3 linked regions of the Arabidopsis thaliana genome follow. The protein of the gene in region 1 purifies or fractionates together with the protein of each later gene. This does not show direct contact. Each region holds a gene or a part of one and is shown in the gene's direction. Other genes may lie near its edges. The genes, in order: ATP3, AAC3 and ATP5.

Evidence for each region.
Region 2: the proteins of ATP3 (region 1) and AAC3 fractionate together in Arabidopsis thaliana (co-fractionation; one large-scale study listed by BioGRID). This does not show direct contact.
Region 3: the proteins of ATP3 (region 1) and ATP5 fractionate together in Arabidopsis thaliana (co-fractionation; one large-scale study listed by BioGRID). This does not show direct contact.

Annotation. Positions count from the first base shown.
Region 1 is NC_003071.7:14,018,023-14,023,109, reverse strand, and holds ATP3 (gamma subunit of Mt ATP synthase), read left to right. Parts: upstream 1-1,924; 5' UTR 1,925-2,062; coding exon 2,063-2,160; intron 2,161-2,561; coding exon 2,562-2,605; intron 2,606-2,716; coding exon 2,717-2,869; intron 2,870-3,068; coding exon 3,069-3,182; intron 3,183-3,264; coding exon 3,265-3,392; intron 3,393-3,503; coding exon 3,504-3,626; intron 3,627-3,725; coding exon 3,726-3,845; intron 3,846-3,934; coding exon 3,935-4,132; 3' UTR 4,133-4,500; downstream 4,501-5,087. Other genes in the region: RLP26 (receptor like protein 26), read right to left, coding at 1-1,240; RLP25 (receptor like protein 25), read left to right, coding at 4,770-5,087.
Region 2 is NC_003075.7:14,040,674-14,045,145, reverse strand, and holds AAC3 (ADP/ATP carrier 3), read left to right. Parts: upstream 1-1,798; 5' UTR 1,799-1,945; intron 1,946-1,961; exon of another isoform or gene 1,962-2,103; intron 2,104-2,336; 5' UTR 2,337-2,364; coding exon 2,365-2,835; intron 2,836-2,913; coding exon 2,914-3,285; intron 3,286-3,363; coding exon 3,364-3,660; 3' UTR 3,661-3,858; downstream 3,859-4,472. Other genes in the region: A7 (Bifunctional inhibitor/lipid-transfer protein/seed storage 2S albumin superfamily protein), read right to left, coding at 418-460, 582-751, 826-1,155; AT4G28380 (Leucine-rich repeat (LRR) family protein), read left to right, coding at 4,215-4,472.
Region 3 is NC_003076.8:4,309,639-4,313,613, reverse strand, and holds ATP5 (delta subunit of Mt ATP synthase), read left to right. Parts: upstream 1-1,547; 5' UTR 1,548-1,672; coding exon 1,673-1,768; intron 1,769-2,009; coding exon 2,010-2,057; intron 2,058-2,214; coding exon 2,215-2,458; intron 2,459-2,549; coding exon 2,550-2,662; intron 2,663-2,743; coding exon 2,744-2,830; intron 2,831-2,927; coding exon 2,928-3,056; 3' UTR 3,057-3,360; downstream 3,361-3,975. Other genes in the region: AT5G13440 (Ubiquinol-cytochrome C reductase iron-sulfur subunit), read left to right, coding at 3,592-3,772. UniProt on the Arabidopsis thaliana protein: Mitochondrial membrane ATP synthase (F(1)F(0) ATP synthase or Complex V) produces ATP from ADP in the presence of a proton gradient across the membrane which is generated by electron transport complexes of the respiratory chain.

The DNA of each region.
Region 1 (5,087 bases):
TGTTGTAGGATAGATCAAGGACGATGAGAGAGCTTCGGTTGCAGATTGAGAGAGGTATGTTCCCTGTGAAACTATTGTTCCACGCAGACAAGTAGATCGAACCGAGTGGTGGAGTAGGAAACGCTCCTGTCATGGAGTTATAGGCAAAATCTAGTAACTGCACTGATGAGTTAAGTAAAACTTCTGAAGAACCTTCGAAACCAGTCAAAGAATTGTTAACAAGATTTGCTATGCTAAGACGAGGAAGCTTCCAAAACCACTCAGGTACTTTCCCTTTGATTAGATTGTTGGAAATGTCTATATGCTCCAAGTTTTGAAGGGTCTTAAAGATGTTTGGAAACTCGATAATGTCGCACTGGATCAAAATCAAGCTTATTAAGCTCAATGGAAACTCTGAATCTGAACTTAAACTGGCTGGTAATAACCTATTTTGACGAATATCAAAGACCAACAAAGATTTGAGAGGAGCGAAGACGCGTAAGTCAATTGGGTGACTTATGTTTAGGGAAGCAAGTTCAAGATGGTTGAGGTTTATGAGCTTTGAGATAGGCTCTATGATTTTTCCTTCAAATTGGTTAAACCCAAGGGACAAACGAACTAGCTTAGATGAAGAAGAAGAGTTTGGGACATCAATAGAACCAGTGAGATGATTCTTTTTCAGATCAAGATAAGACAAGAAAGGCAAAGTGGGTAGTAAATCAAAAGGTATGGCTCCTGAGAATTGATTGTAAGAAAGGTCTAAAAAGGAAAGCTTTGTTAGGTTTCTTACAGGTGGGAAACTACCAGTGAGCTCATTATGGGAAAGGTTTAAATGGGTAAGCAAGATAAGGTTACTAATTGAGGAAGGAACTTGACCAGTAAAGCTACTAGAGGCAAGAGACAAAACCTCTAATCTGGTGAGATTGCTGAATTCAGAAGGGAGTGAAGAGGAAGTGAAGTTGTTGTGAGAGAGATTAAGGTAACGAAGCTGATGCAACTCAAAGAGACTACTGTTTGGTTTGAGAGTTCCAGTGAAGCAACCACTTGGGAGCTGAAGCTTCGTGACCGCACCAGTCGTGTTATCACACTGGACTCCGTTTAAGTAGTCACTGCGGTTGCAGCCGTCAGATTCAAACTCATTCTTGAATTGGATTAGAGCTTGGATCTGGTCAGGAAGACAAGCAAGAGCGTCGGTCGTCAAGAAGCTTGAAACGAAGACGATACAGTAGAGTAAGAGTAGCGAGCAAAAATGCAAACGCATGGTGTTTGTGATTGAACCAACAAGTTGAGGAAATTATTGAACCCAAAAAAAGACATATCAAAGATTTGCTATATATATGTTATTTTAAGCCGCCTTTACTAAATATGTGGGGTTTAAATGTCACGTGAAATGTCTACGAGTCACATTTGTTCATGAAGTAAATTCCACGTGGACATCTCTGACTATATAACTGGGAGTTATAGTTGACTGTTAAAATTGGCTTCAAAATTTAGCAACAAGAGGAAATCAACACTCAGCAATTTACTCTCATTGGATCAAATGAACGCACATTAATATGACGTAACGATGATGACAATTCTGTTTAATAGTATCTTATTGTTTACAGATACAGAAAAATAAATTAAGTGGGCCTTTCAATAATTAATAGGTTGGTGAAATGTTACCTTCTCTTGATATTTTTTTAATTTTCATTTATTATGAGTATGTTGCGTTATGAAACAACTCGCATTAATTTGGTTATAGATTGGAGAAAGAAGAAGTCATGGTCAAAACTCAAAAATGTAAAAGGAAACAAGACGTGTATGACGACGTGATTGATAATCTGAGGAGATACCTTTGGGCCTTATAAGATGGGCCGAAAAAGTAATAGTATTAGCCTCTATTCGGCCCGATTAATTTCAGGGGAAATTTTGGTAATAAAGTGGAAACGACGTCGTGACAAAACTACTGTGTAGACTGAGAAATAAAGAAGCCCTTGATTTTGCCCATTGCAGTCATCTCTCTCGAATCTCTCTCTATAATCCGATCTGAGAAATTTCGCCGGAGCTAGGTTTTGTTGTTTACCGATCAATCCTTTAATCAATGGCAATGGCTGTTTTCCGTCGCGAAGGGAGGCGTCTCCTCCCTTCAATCGCCGCTCGCCCAATCGCTGCTATCCGATCTCCTCTCTCTTCTGACCAGTGAGATCTCTTTCTCATTCATCTTATCCTTGCGTATAAACACACATTTCGCTGTTCCTCTGTGATGCTTTTCTGAATTTGAAATCGTTTGATTTAATTGAGTCGTTGATGTTTTCATTTCCTTGAAATTCGAATCGACGAAAATTTATGGAAATTGTGTTGTTTGACTCGGGAGCTGCTAATGAGTGAGGTGTTTTTGTTCGTCTATTTGGAGTTTTGAGACTCGGAAATGTCCTGTTAAGCTCGTTTCGTTGAATTTCCTATTGCAAGACCAATTTGATTTTCCTCGTAGAAGAGACTTTGTGATATGTTGTCTAAGCTCGTCAGATTTAATCAGCTTTTACCTGCAAAACTTTGTGATATTTAGGATGATGAGGACTAAACTTGTATTTGATTTGTAGGGAGGAAGGACTTCTTGGAGTTCGATCTATCTCAACTCAAGTGGGTAAGTCAAAGCTGATAATTGGAGATTGGTTTTACCTAGTTAGGATTGTGTTCTAAGAAATCTGTGATGTTCTAATCTTTATGAATTGCTTTACATGTATTCTCTGTGCAGTGCGTAACCGCATGAAGAGTGTTAAGAACATCCAAAAGATCACAAAGGCAATGAAGATGGTTGCTGCTTCCAAGCTTAGAGCAGTTCAAGGCCGAGCTGAGAACTCCCGTGGACTTTGGCAGCCATTTACTGCACTTCTAGGAGATAATCCCAGTATGGTTGGCTATATAGAGTTGTTTTTCTTAATAACTTTGTTCTAGTATCACTCCGGGCTTGCATCGGTATTGAATATTGATGACGACGAACAAATCTGTTGCTCTTACTATAGTCTGAGATATCCATCCTCTTGCTATCTCTTGTTGTTATTGTGGATGTGTTTCTGATTTCTAGCGTTACTTGATGGAAAAACCAGGCATTGATGTAAAGAAGAGTGTGGTGGTCACTCTCTCTTCTGACAAGGGTCTCTGTGGTGGAATCAACTCCACTGTCGTTAAAGTGAGCAGGGCTCTGTACAAATTGAATGCTGGTATGTTTGAAAACACTACGATGGTTCCGTGGTTTAGTTTTCCTGAATTGCATATCCGATATTAATTCTTATATCATTGCAGGTCCTGAAAAGGAAGTTCAGTTTGTTATTGTCGGAGAGAAAGCAAAGGCTATAATGTTTCGTGACTCAAAGAACGACATTGTCCTCTCTGTAACAGAGCTGAATAAGAACCCACTCAATTATGCTCAGGTAGTTCTTAGTTGCTAATAGTTAGGAGCAATAGTTTCTCTCCCCGATCCATTTGTTCTCGAGCTATTTATTGTTGTCTATAGTGTTTCTTATGTTTACTTGCTGCTTCAGGTGTCAGTTCTAGCTGATGACATCCTGAAGAACGTTGAATTTGATGCTTTGCGCATTGTCTACAACAAGTTCCATTCAGTTGTCGCATTTCTGCCAACTGTGTCCACTGTTTTGTCACCTGAGGTAAGTCATAACTGTTGAACGTCTCAATTTGTGCTTAATATTTCACATTCTGCTTTAAGTATAAACTTGATTGTATATGTGTGTGTTTTGCATTGAAAGATTATTGAGAAGGAGTCTGAAATTGGAGGAAAACTTGGCGAGCTTGACTCATATGAGATTGAAGGTGGGGAAACAAAGGGAGAAATATTGCAGAATCTGGCCGAGTTCCAATTCTCTTGTGTAAGTAACCAAGAAAGTTTAACTTGATTTATGGTATTTCAGCATAGAAAGAAACATAACATTTTGGTTGTTTACGTAAATTCTACTAGGTGATGTTCAATGCGGTTCTGGAGAATGCATGTAGTGAGATGGGAGCAAGAATGTCTGCCATGGACAGCTCAAGCAGAAACGCAGGAGAAATGCTCGACCGTCTCACCCTCACATACAACAGGACTCGTCAAGCTTCTATTACAACAGAGCTTATTGAGATTATCTCTGGAGCTTCTGCTCTTGAAGCTGCTAAATAAGCCCATCCGTGTTAGTTCTCTTTTCTTCGCTTTGATATTTACCCCCACCTTGAAGGAGAAGAGTGTGTTAAAATTTTACTGAATCAGTTTCCTTTGCTGGCTTCTTGTTGAGACCTACCAATGTTTGCTCAACGATTTTTAATAAACATACCTGTAATTTCCAGCAGGATTTCGAATAATTGCATTAACATTTTGTTCTGATTCAGACTCGCTTCCTCCAGAGTCTGTAGTGTTGTTTTGTGCAAACACCATGTACTCCGGTTTATTTGATATTTTTTTACCTGAGCCAATATTTTGTCACTTCGCCAGGTTTTGAAGTTTGAAACTTTGAATAATCCCACAAACAAATCTAAACAATATATCCAATGCAGTGTATGTTGTCATGCTAGTGGATTTCTAGAATTTTGGAATTATGTATAAACAATCTGATGTTAGAAAGTTTAAACTGATGTGAATCCAATCATGTGAAACAAATTTTATGGCTCAATATCTCCTCTTGATCGAGGTCCACTAGGGTATCCAGAGCTGCGGATATTTGAGATATCTGGTAATAAATTTACCGGAGGCTTGCCACCAAATTATTATGAGAATTGGAAAGCATCATCACTCACGCTAAAATCAAGAAGGGGGTTTATATATGATATACACTAAGAATGCTTACGGTAGCATTTCTTATACCTATCAAGATTTTATAGATTTAAGATACAAAGGTCTACACATGGAGCAAAAGAGGATTCTTACTTTATACAGCGCTATTGATTTTTCCGGAAACAGACTTGAAGGACAGATTCCTGAATCCATTGGTCTCTTGAAGGCACTGATTGCACTCAACTTATCAAACAACGCTTTCATAGGTAATATTCCCATGTCTATGGCCAATCTTATTGAGCTTGAATCATTAGACATGTCTAGAAACGGACTATCTGGGACTATTCCTCAAGGACTCAAGACCCTC
Region 2 (4,472 bases), on another chromosome or scaffold:
CTGGATGTATTTAATTAGGTTGTTGCCATTTACTCATCTGTTAAAAAACAAAATTTTAAACCACGTTCCTCTTTGTAAAAAGCTAAAAGCCTCGTTATGTTATCCGTTTGGCTATGTAATTATAAGTGTAGAAATGTCACGAGAGCCAGAAGTTTTGTCCTTAAGTTTTGATTCTTAATGGACAATTTTGGCATTTTTTGCTTCCCGTAATAATGGTTATTGTAAAAACTAAGAAATAGAAGAGAAGCCATATCTGATGAATATACATATATATAATCGCTTACAGAAAATTCTTCGTACTTTTGTAACACTAGTCACTATTACATCTACAATAAACTCGATTATATATCATTTGTAACTATATAGAACTGTTACAAGGCTTCCCTTCCCAATATTCATAGATATATATCCTGGTAGTTAATTTAATTTCTCAACGTCGGGATTCTTGGTGTTTCTGAACCTGTAATGACAAAATTATACCAGTTCATTAGTTCCTTTATGCACAAGGAAAAATGTAATATATAACATTTTCTTCTAGGAAAAGATTTTTAAAAAACTATGGAGAGAAGAATGAAAATAACTGAGAACAGTCCATATCAACGGAGATGGGAAAGCTGAGAGTAAGAGAACAACGGAGAGGAAGGTTATTAATAGCGGCGGGAAGAAAAGGAAGATGATTTGCATTTCCCATTATCTCAATGCACAGACACACTCTCTCTGTTTCTCCACTATCCTGCCTATTCCTCGATCCCTGCGTAGTTAATATAATTATAGATGGTGAAAGAAGAAACCGAAATAGAAGAATCGAGAATTAAGTCTAGTAACTGGAGACGTAAACTTGACGACGTTGTTCAAGTGGGTCACGCCTCTGCAGCAATCTGGAGAAGGTTGTTGAAATATTCCCTCGACGAAGCCCATGCAGGGCATGAAACTCACGAACACGTCTCTGCAATGTTCCAGCGGATTATTGTCCTGGGAAACGGCGGTCTTCATCAGGACCAAGAACGCTACTACCAATATGGCATGTATCTTCATTGAACTCAGTACACTAGCTAGCGAAGGTGATATATATGATTCGTGTACGAAGAGAAATCTATATCTATATATTATATATATAGTAATCAATTCGTTTCTAAGGTGGAGTTTATTATGCATGGCTTAGTTTAATGAACACATGTAGTTCTCATGTTTCCTTCTTACTCGGATGAATTCCAGCTGAGTTCTCTTTTAGTTTTCTTGAATCTTTTGAAATAATCTACCTACACATATTAAGGTTATTGCATGTAATTCGAGTTTATTTTATATCGCATGACATGTATGATGTGTCTTGTTATCTAATACATGAGCCGATATCATTGCCTATATTCTGGTACTCTCAATACGTATCGGTTTGTTTCATTGTTTGTAGAACATTTCTCTAACTAGTTTTGGATCACTAAATTCGAACCACATCACCTTCCTTGCATCTGTAAAGTTCTGTCCGGCTGAAGAAGAAAAAAAAGATTCAACTTTCTTTCTTGCTTCTTAAGTAACATCCAATTTTTTAAGACCTAGTTAACAAGCCTCTATTATATTTTTCCGGCAAACCAAAAAAGTCTTGATTATTGTTCTATTTTTCTATATTTAATTTTCAGGTAGATGAGACATATATCACATAATGATAAAGAGGTCTCTCACTTTCATTAGGTATGAATTTTATCTTCCTAGGAAAATAAATTTTGGGTCCATTTAGAAGAAGTCAAGACTCGGGTCCCTTAAAATTGGGCCCAGAAAGAAACGGGTCAAAGGAGTCCAGTAGCATTTTCGTAATTGTACCTTCTCTTCTGCTCAGTTTCGTCTTTTAGTTTAGGACCAGAAGTCGAGAATCATGTAGAAACCTACTCTTCTCGCAATTTTCCACAGCTCTCTCTCTCTCTCTCGTTAACGCTTCGGCGAAAAATCCACGGTAAGCTCTCGACTCCAGAAGTTCTAGCTTTATCATTAATGCTTCTCTCCTAGCTCTCTCTGTTTTTTTGTTCTGCTTCTCGTGAATTCTGTTTTCTCGACGCCACTCGTTGCTTGATCTTTTAGAAACAGAGGATTTAATTGAGCTGCTGCAACTAGGTTTTAATTTGTGCTAATTAGGTCGCATTATAGTTGACAGATTGAAATGGTGTCTTTAACGAAGCTAACTAGGATCGTATGAAATGTGTTGATGATGTCTTCTCTGTTTTTGTTCCAGTTTTGGTTATGATCATTCTTTTTTAAGCATGCAAATATAGAAATTTTCGAGAAAGCAAGATTTTGTGGTGTTTAATTTGTATTTTTGTTTTGTTTTGTTTTGTTTTGTTTTTCAGAGTCAGCTTTTACTGATTTGTACAAAAAATGGATGGATCAAAGCATCCATCAGTCTTTCAGAAGCTACATGGACAATCTTACTTGATCAATAGACTTTCTCCGAGTGTGCAAGCTCGTGGTTACTGTGTCTCTGGTGCTTATGTCAATGGAGGTTTGCAGAGTCTATTGCAGCCAACTAGCCATGGCGTTGGCTCGTCTCTTATACCTCATGGTTCATTTCCTGTATTAGCTCACGCTCCTAGTGAGAAAACTGGTACTGGTTTCTTGATCGATTTCCTTATGGGAGGAGTCTCAGCTGCTGTTTCGAAGACGGCAGCCGCGCCTATAGAGCGTGTGAAGCTCTTGATTCAGAATCAAGATGAAATGATCAAAGCTGGGCGTCTCTCTGAGCCATATAAAGGAATCAGTGATTGTTTTGCTCGAACAGTCAAAGACGAAGGAATGCTTGCTCTTTGGAGAGGAAACACTGCCAATGTTATCAGATACTTCCCCACTCAGGTTTGTTTTCTCTTCTTTGACGTGGTATTTGTATAGACGTCGAGATGGGTATGCTAAGCAAATAGTTTTGTTTTGCAGGCTTTAAACTTTGCGTTCAAAGATTACTTCAAGAGGCTGTTTAACTTCAAGAAAGAAAAAGATGGCTACTGGAAGTGGTTTGCAGGGAACCTGGCGTCTGGTGGTGCAGCTGGTGCATCATCTCTGCTTTTTGTGTACTCTTTGGATTACGCTCGTACCCGTTTAGCCAATGATGCGAAGGCGGCCAAGAAAGGTGGTCAGCGGCAGTTTAATGGCATGGTCGACGTGTACAAGAAGACTATAGCCTCTGATGGCATTGTCGGGCTTTACCGTGGTTTCAACATCTCATGCGTTGGAATTGTCGTGTACCGGGGGCTTTACTTTGGATTGTATGATTCCTTGAAGCCTGTGGTTCTAGTTGATGGTCTCCAGGTAAAAAACAAAGAAAACTCCTCACTTCAACATATTGAGTCCTCTGTTACTGTTTACTCATTGCTATAATCTGTACAGGATAGCTTCCTTGCTAGTTTCTTACTGGGATGGGGAATCACCATTGGAGCTGGATTGGCGTCTTACCCAATTGACACGGTTCGCAGAAGAATGATGATGACGTCAGGTGAAGCAGTGAAGTACAAGAGCTCTCTTCAGGCCTTCTCTCAGATCGTCAAGAACGAAGGGGCCAAGTCACTCTTCAAGGGTGCAGGTGCCAACATCCTTCGTGCGGTTGCAGGCGCTGGTGTACTGGCCGGCTATGACAAGCTCCAGCTCATTGTGTTGGGTAAGAAGTATGGCTCTGGTGGTGGCTAAACGATGAGGATGATGAAAGAATAGCCCTTGAGGTCTGTGAATGAATAAAGCAGTGTGTCCGTTCGTATAAATGTTGCTTTTAGAATATAGAGTGTCTCTGTCAAGTTGTGGCCCTTTGTCTTAGTTCTATACTTCTATGACTTTTGTTGACAAAAGAATAAATACAAAGAAAACCAATACCATGTTTATGTTTTTTGTAGTTAAAACAGTTTTAGTGAATATTATCAGTTAAAAAGTCAACATAAGCTGAGAGATCAAAAGAACTTTAAATGTATGGTTATGCGAAAGTTTGTATAATTCAGATTCGGTTTCCTTGGGTTGTAAGCGAATGAGTGATCTAAGTCCAACACTAAGATTTGGTCTTCAAATGTGTCAGTCTCAAATCCCACTTCAAACCACTCCAGACAGCTACAAGTAAGGAGTTAAGTCCTTTTCCTTGATCTTATACCACTACCTGATTCATCCTCTGTAATCGTTGCACCAAAGACCAAACTTATTGTCTTTATATATAAATCCACCACACTTAAGACAAAGGATCCATAACTTGTCTTTGAATGGCTCTCTCTATAACATTTCCTGTCCTTATCTCAGTTCTTCTTTATCATTTCTCTTTAGTATCAACAGCAAAACATAGCCTTCACCACCACACAAGTCACTCCACAAACCCTAAACAGCATCTTCAGCAAGCGTACCGTGCACTTAAAGCATGGAAGAAGGTAATCTATTCTGATCCAAAGAACTTAACTGCAGATTGGGTCGGTCCCTCAGTCTGCAGCTACACTGGCATCTTCTGTGCCCCATCCCCTTCCAAT
Region 3 (3,975 bases), on another chromosome or scaffold:
TCATAAATAAAATATTAAATTGTTTACGAACTTATTTGTTTATAATTTGATAATAGATAGATATTTGAATATTCAGTATATTTTGCTTCAGTTTAGGAAATCTTTGATGACCCGTCTTTAGATCCAATAAGCCCTATAATCTAGATTTTAACCTGCAGTATACCGCAAGTAGGCTTATATTTTAGTTAAACTAAAAACTTTTATTGTAAAGATGATTTAAAAATATATGATATTATTTTATTTGATTTTAAATGTATAGTAAACTGTGAGTTGTATATGTTTTGTTGATATTATCTATATTGTTTAGTGTTTAAGATTATACACTTGTAGTTTGATTGTTAATTTAAGAGTTTGACATGTAGTATACCATCTTGTATTAATATCGATCTAAACCCGTTAATTCTAGGATTTTCCAGCTTGTATTAAAAATTGAATCACATCTAATATGTTATTAATTATTGTAGTATATAAGATTATAAATTTTCAATATAATATGTATGAAATTGAATATAAATATTTCAAATTATGACCCGTTACTCAGTAGAAAGTTTTCTTAAATCTATTTTTCATCCGTTATAATATTTTTCATGTATTGAACAGTTTATATTCGTTTTTAAAAATTCAAATTATGACATATGCGAAAAAACTCTAATTATTTTTTTTATAATGATGATATTATTTTTCGGCAAAAATAGAATCATATAAAGATGAGAAGTGAACTATAATAATTAATAAAAAATTAATATGATAATTTAGATATCAAATCTAATTTGTTGATTTTAATTGGTTATTTTTTTGGAAATTAATAATGCATTTTATTTTTCTAATTAAATTAAATTAATTAAAATTTAGATATCAAATCTTATATGTTGATTTTGATTGGTTATTATTTTTGGAAATTAATAATGCATTTTATTTTTCTAATTAAATTAAATTAATTAAAATTTAGATATCAAATCTTATATGTTGATTTTGATTGGTTATTATTTTTGGAAATTAATAATATATTCCGTTTTTAAATTAAATTTAATTAATTAAATTAGTATTTAACTTTTTAATCCTTAAAGAGATAAATTAATTTATTCTTTAAAATTTTATTTTTAATGGCATACCTATGTAATTACTTACAAAAATTAAGGTTACATTTAAAAAGTACTTCCCAAATAATATAGTAGGATAGAAAATTGAGAACAACATCTTAATTCGTAAGAAAAATAGTATTTTTTTAGAACATCAATTATTTTGAAATAGAGAAAAATACATTATTGTAGAGTTCAAATACACATTAAAAATGATATTTTTCATATACACATATATACAGTTAAATTTGAATATATATATATATATATATATCAACAATAATACAAAATAATAATCTACAAGATCTTGTTTACAACAAAAAAACGAGTTAAGTTGTGTATTACATAACCTCACTATAACATTTGAAACTTGGTAAAACACTAAAAACCTGAGCAAAACAAATTAACTATCATAAATTTGCCACTATCTACAGGTAGTAATAAGCCCAATAAAATAAGTATGAGCCCAGTGAAGCCCAATGCACTAAGTTATTTTCTTCCTCTGACCAGTTTCATCTCTTTGCTCTCGACAAAGCAGCTGAGCGACTTTTGCACATTTCTAGGGTTCCAATCAAAATCTATCTGCAACAAAAATGGCTAATCGTTTCAGATCAGGGATCTCCTTCTTCAAGACCATCGCCGTAACAGATTCTGTCTCCTCCGTTAGATCCAAGTCGCTTTTCCCAGCGGTAATTCGCATTCTTAAAAATCGAATCTTTTCAGTCCAATTTTTTGTTCGGAGTCGATTCTTACGAGATCAGTCGATCCAATCGCCTAATTGGATTGATAACAGTATAGAATGGGGATTATCGTGTTTTCTCGCTTACATTGCTCGGCTTTAGATGTTTTGGAAGTCTTTTAACTCTATCTCTGTTATTTTCCTGAGAATGCTATCAATCAATCTTTAAAGTTTGTATATTTCTATCGCAGTTGAGAACTTATGCAACTGCTTCTGCTCAAACAACCGCTAATGTTAAGGTACACCCTTTTATCACCATCGTATTATTTTGTAGATGCGAGAATCGCGACAATGGCTTGAATTGTTTGATTGGCATAAATGATGAACCGCGGATAGCTGGATTTTGTATAATATGTAATGGAAGTGTATCTAGATTTATACTTGTTGTTGTTTCAGGTGCCTATTGCTTTAGTTGGTGAAAATGGGAACTTTGCTTCATGGCTATACATTGCAGCTGTGAAAATGAATTCCTTGGAAAAGATTGAGACGGATCTTTCTGAGATGATTGAGGCAATGAAGACAGCTCCTATTTTTGCTCAGTTTACAAAGGATCCCTCTGTTCCTAGAGGGACAAGATTGGCTGCTATTAGGGATGCTTGTGATCAAGCAAAGTTTGCCGAACCCACTAAGAACTTCCTCTGTATGTAATTCAAGTTTGAAACTGTCTTGTTTTTATGATTTTGATTGACCTTGTTGTGCTGATATTAAAAGTTGTTTGCTTTCTGTAACAGCTTTGTTAGCTGAGAATGGAAAGCTGAAGAACCTAGATGCCATTGTGAAGAAATTTATGCAGCTGACAAACGCACATAGGGGAGATGTCAAAGTTTTGGTTACCACAGTCATTGTAAGCTTTAGTCTCAATACTTGTTATCTCTTAAATAACCATAAACTCAGTATTGTGGATTTAATCATATGGTTTGGACAGCCGCTTCCCCCTGCTGAGGAGAAAGAACTGACTGAGACGCTTCAGGAGATCATTGGAGCAGGGAAGAAAATCACTGTGGAACAAAAGGTATGTAATCAGATATGCATCAAAGGCTTGTGATTTTCTAGTAACCCATAAAATGGATATAAGCATCTATGTCAATGGTGGTAATGTGTGTTTGTAGATTGATCCAAGTATCTACGGTGGACTAATCGTAGAGTTCCAACAAAAGGTGTTGGACATGTCAATCAGGACAAGGGCACAACAGATGGAGAGGCTCCTCCGTGAACCTGTTGACTTCAACAACCTCTGAAAATCTTGAGAGAAATTTCCCCCAAGAAAACATGCTTGTGATGAATGCCACCAATTGACAAATAAATATGGACCCTCCTGGGAAACAATATAATAGCTGGCCACTTCTCTCCCTTTGAATTTTGTCATTTGCTTTTTACATATTGTTGTTTGCTTCGAAATAAAGCTTTTCGAGACATCAAATTTCAATGAGATTGTTTTTGTTTAGATTTGAATCGTTGGGCTAATTTGGTAAATAAATCTACAAACTATGCCCAAGTAGCTTATTCATACTCACGAATGAACATTAAGATGCCACGAAGCTACATAATTATCATGTTAGAACACCGTCATTGTTCTCTTCAGTATTAATAGTAAAAAAACCAAATTGACGATTTCTCGAAGACTATTAAAGGAATATCCGCAAAGAAGAAAAAAAAACATTTTTTTGGTAAAGGACTAATCTTTTTGTTTGCATCGGCCATCTCTAACCTTACGATTGTGTGTTCTTGCTTTGAGCGAAACCCTAGAATCGGTCTTAACCCATTTGAGCAGAGATGCTGCGAGTAGCAGGAAGGAGGCTTTTTTCTGTTTCGCAGAGATCATCGACGGCGACCTCCTTCGTCCTTTCCCGTGACCATACCCTTTCCGATGGAGGCAACTCCTCTTCCGCTTCTAGATCTGTCCCCTCTGCAGATCTCTCATCTTTCAATTCTTACCACCGGAGCGTTATAAGAGGTCTGCCGATCTACAACTCTTTCTGTCTCTCGATTGATTTTCATTTCTGGTGTTATCCATTGAATGATTCATAAATTTTTAAAAGTCACCTCTTTTGGGCTTGTATAAGTCCGGAAATGATTGAGATTCCTAGTTTCGTATCTGCGAGATGATCTATGGGAATTAAGTCATCTGTTTTGAATTCTTATGATGTGTATTAGAGC